2 linked regions of the Caenorhabditis elegans genome follow. The protein of the gene in region 1 purifies or fractionates together with the protein of each later gene. This does not show direct contact. Each region holds a gene or a part of one and is shown in the gene's direction. Other genes may lie near its edges.

Region 1 (5,038 bases):
AATAACAATGAACGAAGTCAACTTAAGGCTGCCGCATTACAAATTTCAGTTGTTGAATAATTTTTTTCAGGGCTATAACTAGGTATATTTTCAGGATAATTTCCTAGATGGCTCCGCTTATTCAACTCGTCGATTTTCCTGATGGATTTGGGAACGAAAATTTATCGTTTACAATTTGGCAACTGTCGACAGGAAATGAATTATTCTTTATCTATTTCCATGGTTTAAAATTCGACATCACATAAAAATATAGAATAACGTAATAGGTTTTAGTGAACGTTTTCTTTTCCAACTAAAGATAACGGCCTGAACCCTCACCATTTCCGGTTTTTGAGCATTTTTTGTATTATAGTTGTTTTTTGCTATTGAACCACACCCTTTAATGGAAGCTACCATAACCTTCCTAAAAAACAAAATAACAAAACTTCGAAAAACATCGAAAATTCCCGCATACCAACTCTTTCCGGACGGACGCTACAGTGTCCACGAAGCGTCCCGCCCCTTTTTTAATGTGGGCTCACTTCTCTGCCTCGAGGAAAGAAACCTGATAAGAGTATGACAACCTATAAGAGTTGATAAGTATCACTCTTTCGGTGATTTTTCCTCTTTCTTTACAATTTCATCACTTTCACTGTTTTTAAGAGAATTTTAAAATAAGTGTCTTGTGATTCAATATTTGACATTTTTAAGAAAGCTTCCGGTCAAATATTTCGGTGCTTGAACAAGCGGTTGTCAGGGAAAATGCTCTGAAATTTTTGAATAATGATTCACTGTTTGATAGGTTCTTGTTCTGTTTTTAATATAGATATAAAATAATGCTAGTTTTAAATTGATAGGAGAGATTGATTGTAGTATTGCACTCCACAGTTCAACTTTGGCAGCTTATATCTCAATTGCCGTCAGTTCTATATAAAAATTGTCAACTGTCAAAATATTTGTTAATTCCTTTTTCCTTTTTACTGTTTTGTAGTTGGTTATTTATTGATATCTTTCAGATGAACTGAGATAATATAACATTTCAAAGTTGAGTAGTCGGGTGCAATATTAATGCACGAAATATGATAAGTCCAATTTATCAAATACCGTGTTTCTTTTTTTTAGAATGCTTTGGTTTTTTATCTATTTTTTTCAAAGTGTAAGATGCTCCTTCTTCTACAAGTCGAAGTTAAATTTTTTTGATATCTGTAAAATAAACCAAAATTTAACCTATCAAAGTGGAGTAGCTTCTACAAGTCTCTAGTCAGCTGGTTTCAGAGATACACCCACTCTCGGTGATAACGCGCGTTTCCACCAATTTCGTATACAAACCAAAAGTTTTCGAAGAAAGTGAAACGTTGTCAACTGATAACGATTCGAGCAGCGCTTTCCACGACTGACGAAATTCGCCGCCCAACTTTTCGTCATCTTTATTAGTTGCTTTTGGGCAATTGTTTCAGTTTTATTAGTTCTTGGGTTTGTGAGTATTTATATTTGAGTTAAACTTCCCTGCCCGGCCTTGGCGCTTGTCTAAAAACTACCTTGCCTTTTTTTACAGTTTCACGTATTCGCAACAATGTAGAGTACCCACGTTTCAGAATTTTTGCAGTATGCTTTTAAGGTTTAATAAAATCCCTAATCAGTAAAGTATTCTCAAATTGTTTTTGAACTTTGGGCATCTATATACCTCGCGGTCATTATTATTAGACGAAATCATTAAAAATAACTTTCAAACCCACTTCCCATCCTAATTAGATCAAATGGTTCAACTTCTATCCTAGTAGAATTTCCCAATTTCCATTCCCAAATCCCCGAAAAAAAATTCAATCTCTACTCTCATCAGCTTCTGCATTTAGAGTGCTGTGTTCTTGTTCTAATGCGGATATCTACACTTTTCCAGCTAATTCTCGTAAACCCTCGTTTCGCAAACTGATAGTGCTCTCCAATTGCTCTCCCAAAATGTCCCAAAAAAAAAGTTTCTTGTAACTTCTTCCGTCTCTCATTATTTTCGGAAAACAACCCTCAATTTTGCAGGCATAGCTCTCAGCAAGTCTCATTTCCGAATGTCGTTTTTGAATAATGATTTCGGCAGTCCGCCGGCAACCAGTTCACCGCCGACTACTATGCCTAAATTACCGACGATTCAAGATATGCTTAACAATATTGGTGCATCCACAGGTACTGTAGATTACTGTAGAGGATTTTAAATGTGCATAGTTTGGTAAATAACCAAAAAACATAGCTACTCCGTAATTACTCAGTCAGAATAAACGAAAAACCGAAACATCACAATTTTATTCTAATAATTCATTCATCATTTTTCAGTAAACCTAATGCAGCCGAACCCCTACCTGATGCAAAACCAGATTCCTCTGCCAGTCCCCAACCTACCCTTGAACCCATTCCTCCATCTGAACCCTGCAATCAGTCAAGAAATAATTCAACAATTCATCGCGATGAGCTTTAACACACCAAATGTATTAGCTAGTATCGCCAACATGGGAGATGATGAAGGACCTTCCTGCAATCCAAAAATGCGACGAGGTGATCTGCTGAAGAGTGTTTCAATGGATAGTACAGAGGATCCACCATCCATAACACTTGATAACAATGGAGACATGATTGTTCCAAATAATGATAAAGAAGGTTGGTATATGAAAGGTCTTGACCCTTTGACCCTTATCTTTTTTCAGGTTGGTGTCGCAACAAGAAGTATATCGAACAGACGGAGAACGGTTACATGTGTACTGTTTGTCGAAAGGTTTATGGTAGATACAACTCGGTGTCTTACCACGTTACCATCTACCATAGGAATCCTCCAATCAAGTAAGTGAGGGAAGGAAAGTTATGCCTCCCATTTAAAGGTGCAGAGCAACAAGCAGCCGACATTGATCGGCGCTTTTCTACTGTCGGCTGCAAGCTTACTGTAAAGTTACAACAGATAATATTAAAGGATCTATCATTTCAGATGCAACGTTCCCAACTGTCAGTTCACAACTCGCGAGGCTCGATACATTCATTTCCACAAGAACTATCGGCACGGAATTCCACTTCCAGAGAGTATCGACCAAGGTATGACGAAGTACATCAAATCTCTTGGATTATAAAGATGAATTCTTGGAAAAATTTAAGAAAATTTGGAAAAATCTGCTTAGCAGTTTTACATAGTAGAAGATCTTCTTATTGAACTTTCAAGAGATTCCAGTAATTTAGAAAACTTCAAAGTACAGTAGTACGTCACCAGTCTCTGCTCTTTTCCTCGAAAAAAACCGAATTCCATTCCATTTTCGTGCAAACCATTCGCTGATAACTCTCGCAAGGAAAACGCTCACTTTCGATTCGATTCTCCCGTTTTTCTGGGAATAATTTGATAAATATTTGATAAAAATCAATCGGTTACAGGTTCTCGAAAATGTCCGCACTGTCGTCACGTGTCAAAGAGTCCGGCGATGCTCGAGAAACATATCAGGAGGCATCAAATCAAGTGAGTTTTTGGACGGGTACACTGGGTCATGGGGTGTCTTATCACTGATAAGGAGAGGGGTGCCGTTCTTTAATACATTCGTGTTAATGTTTCTGGAAATGAATATGAGGGACTGGAACTATTAGATCTAGGGAATGTTGAATTGCAAAATTTTGGGTTTGAAAAATCTAATTGCCTGCCTACTTGCGAAGCATGCCTGAATGCCTACCTACATGGCTACCCACGAGGTATGGTTGTCTGCCAAACGTGCCTGAGTGACTATAAGGCGTACCTGAATGCTTACCTACAAGGCAGACCTAACTTACCAGTAATACTACCTAGGTCTACCTTCCCGTCGCTTGAGGCGAGGCAATCGTAGGTCGCTTAGTAGGCACGAAAGCTGGATTTTCTGAGCACACAATGGAGAACCAATACCTTTAAGAAACATTTTCTAAATTATTTATTTCTTACAGAGATGGCTTATCAAATATCAATGAAGCAATTCGTGAAAGAACCTCTACAATTTGTGATGAAGCCATGGAAATCGAGCCGGCTGAAACCGAAGTTGACCCGATAGAAACCAAGCCACGATCCTGTACTTTGTAATTTAAATTTCCCACCAAAAAATGTTTGATTGTACATATCACATCGCTATATGTATATACTAGTGTGAAGGCATTTTCTCTTTAAAAAATTTACTTTTGGTATTTCATTGTTGAACTTGATTGCTTGTTGTCCACGTCATTTCTGCTGTCTCCAAATATTTTCACCCTTATTTGTCGTTTCGATTAATTTTTTATCAGTTAAGTGGAGGAAGAAGTTGAAAAAAAGAGAATAAGGAATAATAATAATACACAAAAAAGTAGATGTTTTCTCGATGTTTCGAAATTTTTTCTGGTCAATAACTTTCGAAACAGAAAGTTCCGGTAAAACTTGAAAATCTTCAAGAAAACATAATATCACAACAAAAGTATCAATCATTGGGATCATATGGGGTTTGAAAAGATTTCCAAAAAAAGTGGAAACGATTTCTAAAATTATGCTACAAGAGGATCACCCTCAGAATTACAACCATTTGTCATCATCAGCTTCTCGTCCATTGACTCATCTCTCATTGCCAAACATGGATTCGATGCGACCAGAATACTTCGACGTCGGGATCCGTTTGGTTCGGTTACCAGCGCCAAGCTGGAGTCGGCGATTCGTGTGAACTGAAATAAGTCGGTTAGGTGTGTGGCAGTGTTAGATATATATTTTTTGGAATTCGGAATAAGCAGCTGTTTTGAGATAAAATTGACTGGAAATCTTCAAAAATAAGCAAAGTTGGGAGCTGTGATAGATAGTTAAACTAAAAATAAAGTAAAAAATAAAGAAAAATTCCGAGGTTCTGTAGTCACAAAAGGACATTTTTCGGTGACTTGAGTTGTCATGTACGTTTTAAAACAAAACATGAGGCATGAATTTTTGATACGAACAAAGTTATAAAGCTGGAAACTTTTAATTAAACATTTCAAAAAAAAGTTGGGGTGCCACCGTTAGCCTTAACAGTTCTGACCCATTGAAATGCTCAACTTACCGATCCCGATCTGAAATCTTTCG
Region 2 (4,863 bases), on another chromosome or scaffold:
TTATTTTTCCCTTTATTTTAAACTGAATTATAACAACAATAATTAGTAATTCATAAAAACAATTTGAACTGAATACTAGCTCAACAACATCTGTAATTAGTGGAAATTTCTGTTTTAGCGACATAGTAATTTATAACAACGAGTGTTGTTCCGTTTTAAGTTGTATGACTTTTAAAAGTTGACAACATGCAAAAAAAGATTAATAACCATTTTTATAGTGCTGAAAAGACTAAATGTCTTGATAAAACTTCTCAAAATACTTTTGAATTTTTTTGAGATAAAAAAGGGTTAATTATTGTTTAACTACTTACAGTGTTAAAATAAGAATATTTTGAACACAAATGTAAAATTGAAGAAATAATTGTTTGTTTTATGTGAAGCATCTGATGGAGTCATAACTAACTACTGTAAAGTTCAAGACGATCAAATAGTGGCCTTGCAAAACTAATGGTATTATCCTCACTTCAGCTAGCTGATCCATTTAACTGATAGTCATAAAAACATGAGCAAGTGTATGATATATTACAAAATATAAAAAATGTGCTCGCATGTTTTTCAGTTGTGAAAACATAATCCTTGATGATATTTACCGTTGAGTAATAAGCCAAGAGAAAGAACAAGTGTAATGGTTTGGCATTTTACTACACAATCAAAGTTCTACTACGATTTCGGATTCCCATGGGTACCTTGTGTGCTGTTGTACTTTCATTGTATTATCTAGTTTTTATACACAAGTTTTGAAACATCAGGTAGATATGCAACAAAAAAACTATCCAAATGCAATACTTAAATTGAGTTTCGGTGATTGGCATGTAATTGAAAAGAAATCGCAACATTTGGGGAATGGTGTTATCAGTGTACATGGTGCACTTGAGCATGGAAGAAAAAACCACTAGAACCGTTCTTTTATCAGTTGAACGTGGTTGTTCAATTATTTTTTCCGTCGCTTTCCATATCGTTTTCTCTTTGAAATTTTCCAATTTTTCCTGATTTCGTAATATATGACAATTAAAATCATCTAATGAGATTAGTGAAGTGTTTGCTATGACACAAATTTGGGTTCGGTTTCTTTTTGTGTAGAAAGGGAAAAGGAAGAGGTGTCACGTAATAAGTCAACATTTATCCTTATGAATTTGAGCGACAGAAAAGGCGGCCCAAATGACAGTAATCCAATAATAATGTTTGCTCTAACAATATCAATAACCCAAATCTACGAGCTACTAGTGGTAGTCTTACTGTACAGTTATTTTCATTTATTGAACACATTTTTGGATTTTTTAATTTTATGTATAAAATTTTTTTGTAACATTTAGTAAAACATAAAATAATAAATAAAACATTTCTATGCATATTAACAAGTAAACTTGACAGGATTTTTTTTTCAAATTCATATCTTAGTAATGATCTATAAAAAATGATGAAATTAAACTCAGTTTTTATCAAATTACACCGATGAATAGAAAAGAAAAAACCTAGACAGAATTCGTACCACCTATTTTAGTTTTTTTTTTTCGTGATTTTTCAAAATTGTATTTAGACACATCACAGCTCTGTGTTGTTGCGTTCACAACCGAGTGCATCACACCGATCTTTGAGAGATGGATAATCTTATTAAGCAGCTCCAAATGAGCGTCTCAAGTGAAAACGTCGACAGGAATTTTATTGAGTGAGTTAAAAAAAAAACTTTTGAGCAGCAAAACAGGATTTAAAAATAAATTGACCTCTATGAAAAGAACACTGTTTAATAGATGTTGGCATGACCTATTTTTCAAAAATGTACATCTAAACGGTATTAGATAGGAATAAACTTCTAAGAAAAAAAGCAAAAAAGAAGAAAAATTTAGTTGGGTTTAGGCAAATCTTGATTGTTTGATATTCTATAGTTTGAATGTTTTCATAAGTGATATAAATGACTAATACATATGATCTGCAAAACATCCAGATCAGAGATTCGTCTAGGCATCGTAAGAAGTGTAGTTTGTGATTGAAGAAAATTTATAGAAATGAGAGAACCTGATTCAGATACCGATTTTTATATTTCTTATAAACTGGGTCGGGAGGTGAATCTAAACAGGTCATCTTCCTAGAAAATTTTAGAAAAACATCAGGGAATAGGTGAGACAGTTTTCAGTTCGAGTCATCTTACAAATGATGTGACATATGAATCATAACAGTAGATGCTGATTAAGTTTACACCCCTAGAGAACTATTAGTGAAGTGATGATCATTATTTTTTGTTACCGCTGAAATAGTAAAAACTTATATTAAAAAATTGCAGAAAATGCATCGAAATGAATCCCTGTCGCCGGATGCTTCACGAAGTGCTACTTGAAAGAAAAGACATTTTACGTAAGCAAAGAATGAAAAATCAAAAAGTTATGCAGATTTAGAAAAGGTGAAGGTCACATCCGGTGGTCTTTTACAGAATCAAAAGTTTATGACTATGATATAGCGAAAAGACTCTCTAGTTTAAACAAATTGAAGTTTCAAAAATAATAAAAAAACGGAAGTATGAAATGGATCAGAAATTAACACATTTACATTTCAGGCTCTCGGATGAACTTGGTTGCGTTGTATGATACAGATGAACAATCCTCCGAAATTGAGGAAATTCTCGTGAGTGAATAAGTTTTTAAAGTTACATGAAATAGTTTGTGACATTTTTCAATTGAAAGATGAAGCTTATTCTATGTTGAAAGGATTTACACTAATACTACGGAGCTAAAATAACCATATAGTATAGTAAAAGATTCAAACGATTTTGGCAAATTTTTAATTCAAGTCAAAAAATCGTGAAATCGCTGTTTTCACAAATTTTTTGGAAGTTGTCATTCATTTAAACACCAGTTTCTTTCAGTTCTACGGTCTATGAACTATTGTGTTTGCAATTTTTATATTCCAACACTGTTTGGGTTTGAAAAAACGACACTATTTCAAATTTCTCGATAAGTGGTGCAATCTCACTTTTTGACCCGACATAAAAAATTATCAGAATTTTTTTGAGAAGATTTAGTATGATATTCGGTCATTTCAGCGCCACAAACTGGTTTAAAATTATTACCCCATTGGCTGTACTCTTTTAAAACAAATCATTAGAACTGAAAAATTAGACAAGCAACAAAAATTGTAGGCTCAATTCGAAAATCCTACATTTCCGTTGGAAGAGGTCAACACTGAGAAAGACGAGGAATGGCAACCCTTAGAAAGGAAATATTTGGACGGAATTAACCGTATAAAAGAAGACACTATCATGAAACAAATTCAACTGGACAAGGTGATATTTCATATTTTCAAAAAAACAAACTGATGCGGTAGGCGTAACAAAATTTGACATTTACTCAAGCTTGTGAGAAGCTTTAAATCCGATTTTTGATTTGTAAATACTTTTCAAATTTAATTCAGAATATTTCAGGATATGGAAAAAGCCCTGACTAATAGCGAAGAAGTACTCAGAAATCATCGCGATTTTAGACCGATCGACGAAAAGGTAAAATAATTATATTAATTTGTAGAAGAGATATCGAGATTATTATTTGAGATTAGAGAGCAAAAAAAAAATAACAAAACACAAAACTGAAGTTGAAAAGTCAGGCGAACGAATAGAAGAATAGAAAACAACCAGCTTATTAATTTGTTGTTTGTGAATTTTACACTTTTGAATGACTTTTTCTGAACAAAAGTCAGTTTTTCTGAATCCTACTGTAATCCAAAAAAAAGAAAACTAATCCATTTTGGTTTTTCTTCAATTTTTGAAACGATCGAGATCATCACTTGTTGAGATTTAACGCAAGATCAGATCAAATTTTTTTCATTATAAATTTGTTTTTTTTTAAGTTAGGATTATAATTTTACGTGCAAAATTCAATATTCACAATTTCCCGTAAAAAACAAACACAAACCATGATAAATATGTAGAAACCCGTACAAATGTCACATATAATACACAAAATATGAACTTTTTTAAATGCTAACAAAGTCAATGTGTTTTCATTAGGTCCAAATTCACGAAGATTATTGAAAATGTTTCAGGATTTCTCTAACATTCGGCAAAGCATTTCCAAAAGGTTCGAGCATTCGAAAAATAACATTCGCGGGGAGGCAGCAACTAAAATTCTAGTTCTCCGGAGGGAGATCGAGCAGCAGGGGTGAGTTTTTGGATATTCCACCATTATTACATATATTACTATCATATCTCATTACCTAACATTTTAATTTGCAAGTAGACATTACGCTAGTTGACATTAATCCGAAATTAGAATAACTTCCGTGAGACTACTTGTTCCGTCCCTTGTGAGGTCTAGGTTTTGCAAGACACTCAACATACAAAATCATAAATTCAAAAAAAAAATGATGTGGAATACGTTCTCAAATCATGTTGCTTTTTAATAAACTTCGTTGATATTCCAGACAGATGAACACTGAAATGAAAAAGTTCATCGGCTTAGGAACTAAACATCTGAAATTCGTAACAATAATAAACAATTTGAAAACTGAGACAAACTTAATTCTTCACATGATTTGGATTCATATTCAAAACAACGCAGATCACATTTTGTCGGATTTCGTTTGAAACTAACTTTAACGCATGGATCATACAAATTGTTGCTGAAACCGATTTTGTTTCAGACGCAAGCGCCGGAACTTTGACAAAAACACGACGGACATTTTGCAAAACTGGTTCCACGATCATCGTCAAAATCCTTACCCGTCCGACCAGGAAAAGGCGGAATTAGCAAAACAGTGTAATATCAAAATTTCACAGGTAAGATCAGTTGTACGATTAGAAAGGTGTGTGATGCTCAATTTTGTTTTATAAAAAACAATGTCTGAATCAGACTAAATTGAATTATGTCGGTGACGTTA

What was found. Proteins that work in one complex are often made in the same cells at the same time.
Region 2: the proteins of pqm-1 (region 1) and ceh-60 purify together in Caenorhabditis elegans (affinity purification with western blotting; one study listed by BioGRID). This does not show direct contact.

What each region holds. Positions count from the first base shown.
Region 1 is NC_003280.10:11,149,566-11,154,603, reverse strand, and holds pqm-1 (Zinc finger transcription factor pqm-1), read left to right. Parts: upstream 1-2,008; 5' UTR 2,009-2,039; coding exon 2,040-2,154; intron 2,155-2,301; coding exon 2,302-2,622; intron 2,623-2,669; coding exon 2,670-2,802; intron 2,803-2,944; coding exon 2,945-3,048; intron 3,049-3,378; coding exon 3,379-3,460; intron 3,461-3,912; coding exon 3,913-4,045; 3' UTR 4,046-4,213; downstream 4,214-5,038. Other genes in the region: arrd-6 (Arrestin C-terminal-like domain-containing protein), read right to left, coding at 4,477-4,650, 5,016-5,038. UniProt on the Caenorhabditis elegans protein: Zinc finger transcription factor which acts as both a transcriptional activator and repressor. Binds to the promoters of genes that contain the 5'-CTTATCA-3' DNA consensus sequence in their regulatory region.
Region 2 is NC_003284.9:6,526,821-6,531,683, reverse strand, and holds the start of ceh-60 (Homeobox protein ceh-60), read left to right. Parts: upstream 1-1,537; 5' UTR 1,538-1,598; coding exon 1,599-1,666; intron 1,667-2,278; coding exon 2,279-2,349; intron 2,350-2,548; coding exon 2,549-2,616; intron 2,617-3,130; coding exon 3,131-3,274; intron 3,275-3,412; coding exon 3,413-3,487; intron 3,488-4,029; coding exon 4,030-4,145; intron 4,146-4,626; coding exon 4,627-4,762; intron 4,763-4,863. UniProt on the Caenorhabditis elegans protein: Probable transcription regulator which binds to DNA, repressing genes involved in longevity and stress, while activating genes involved in reproduction, such as the vitellogenins.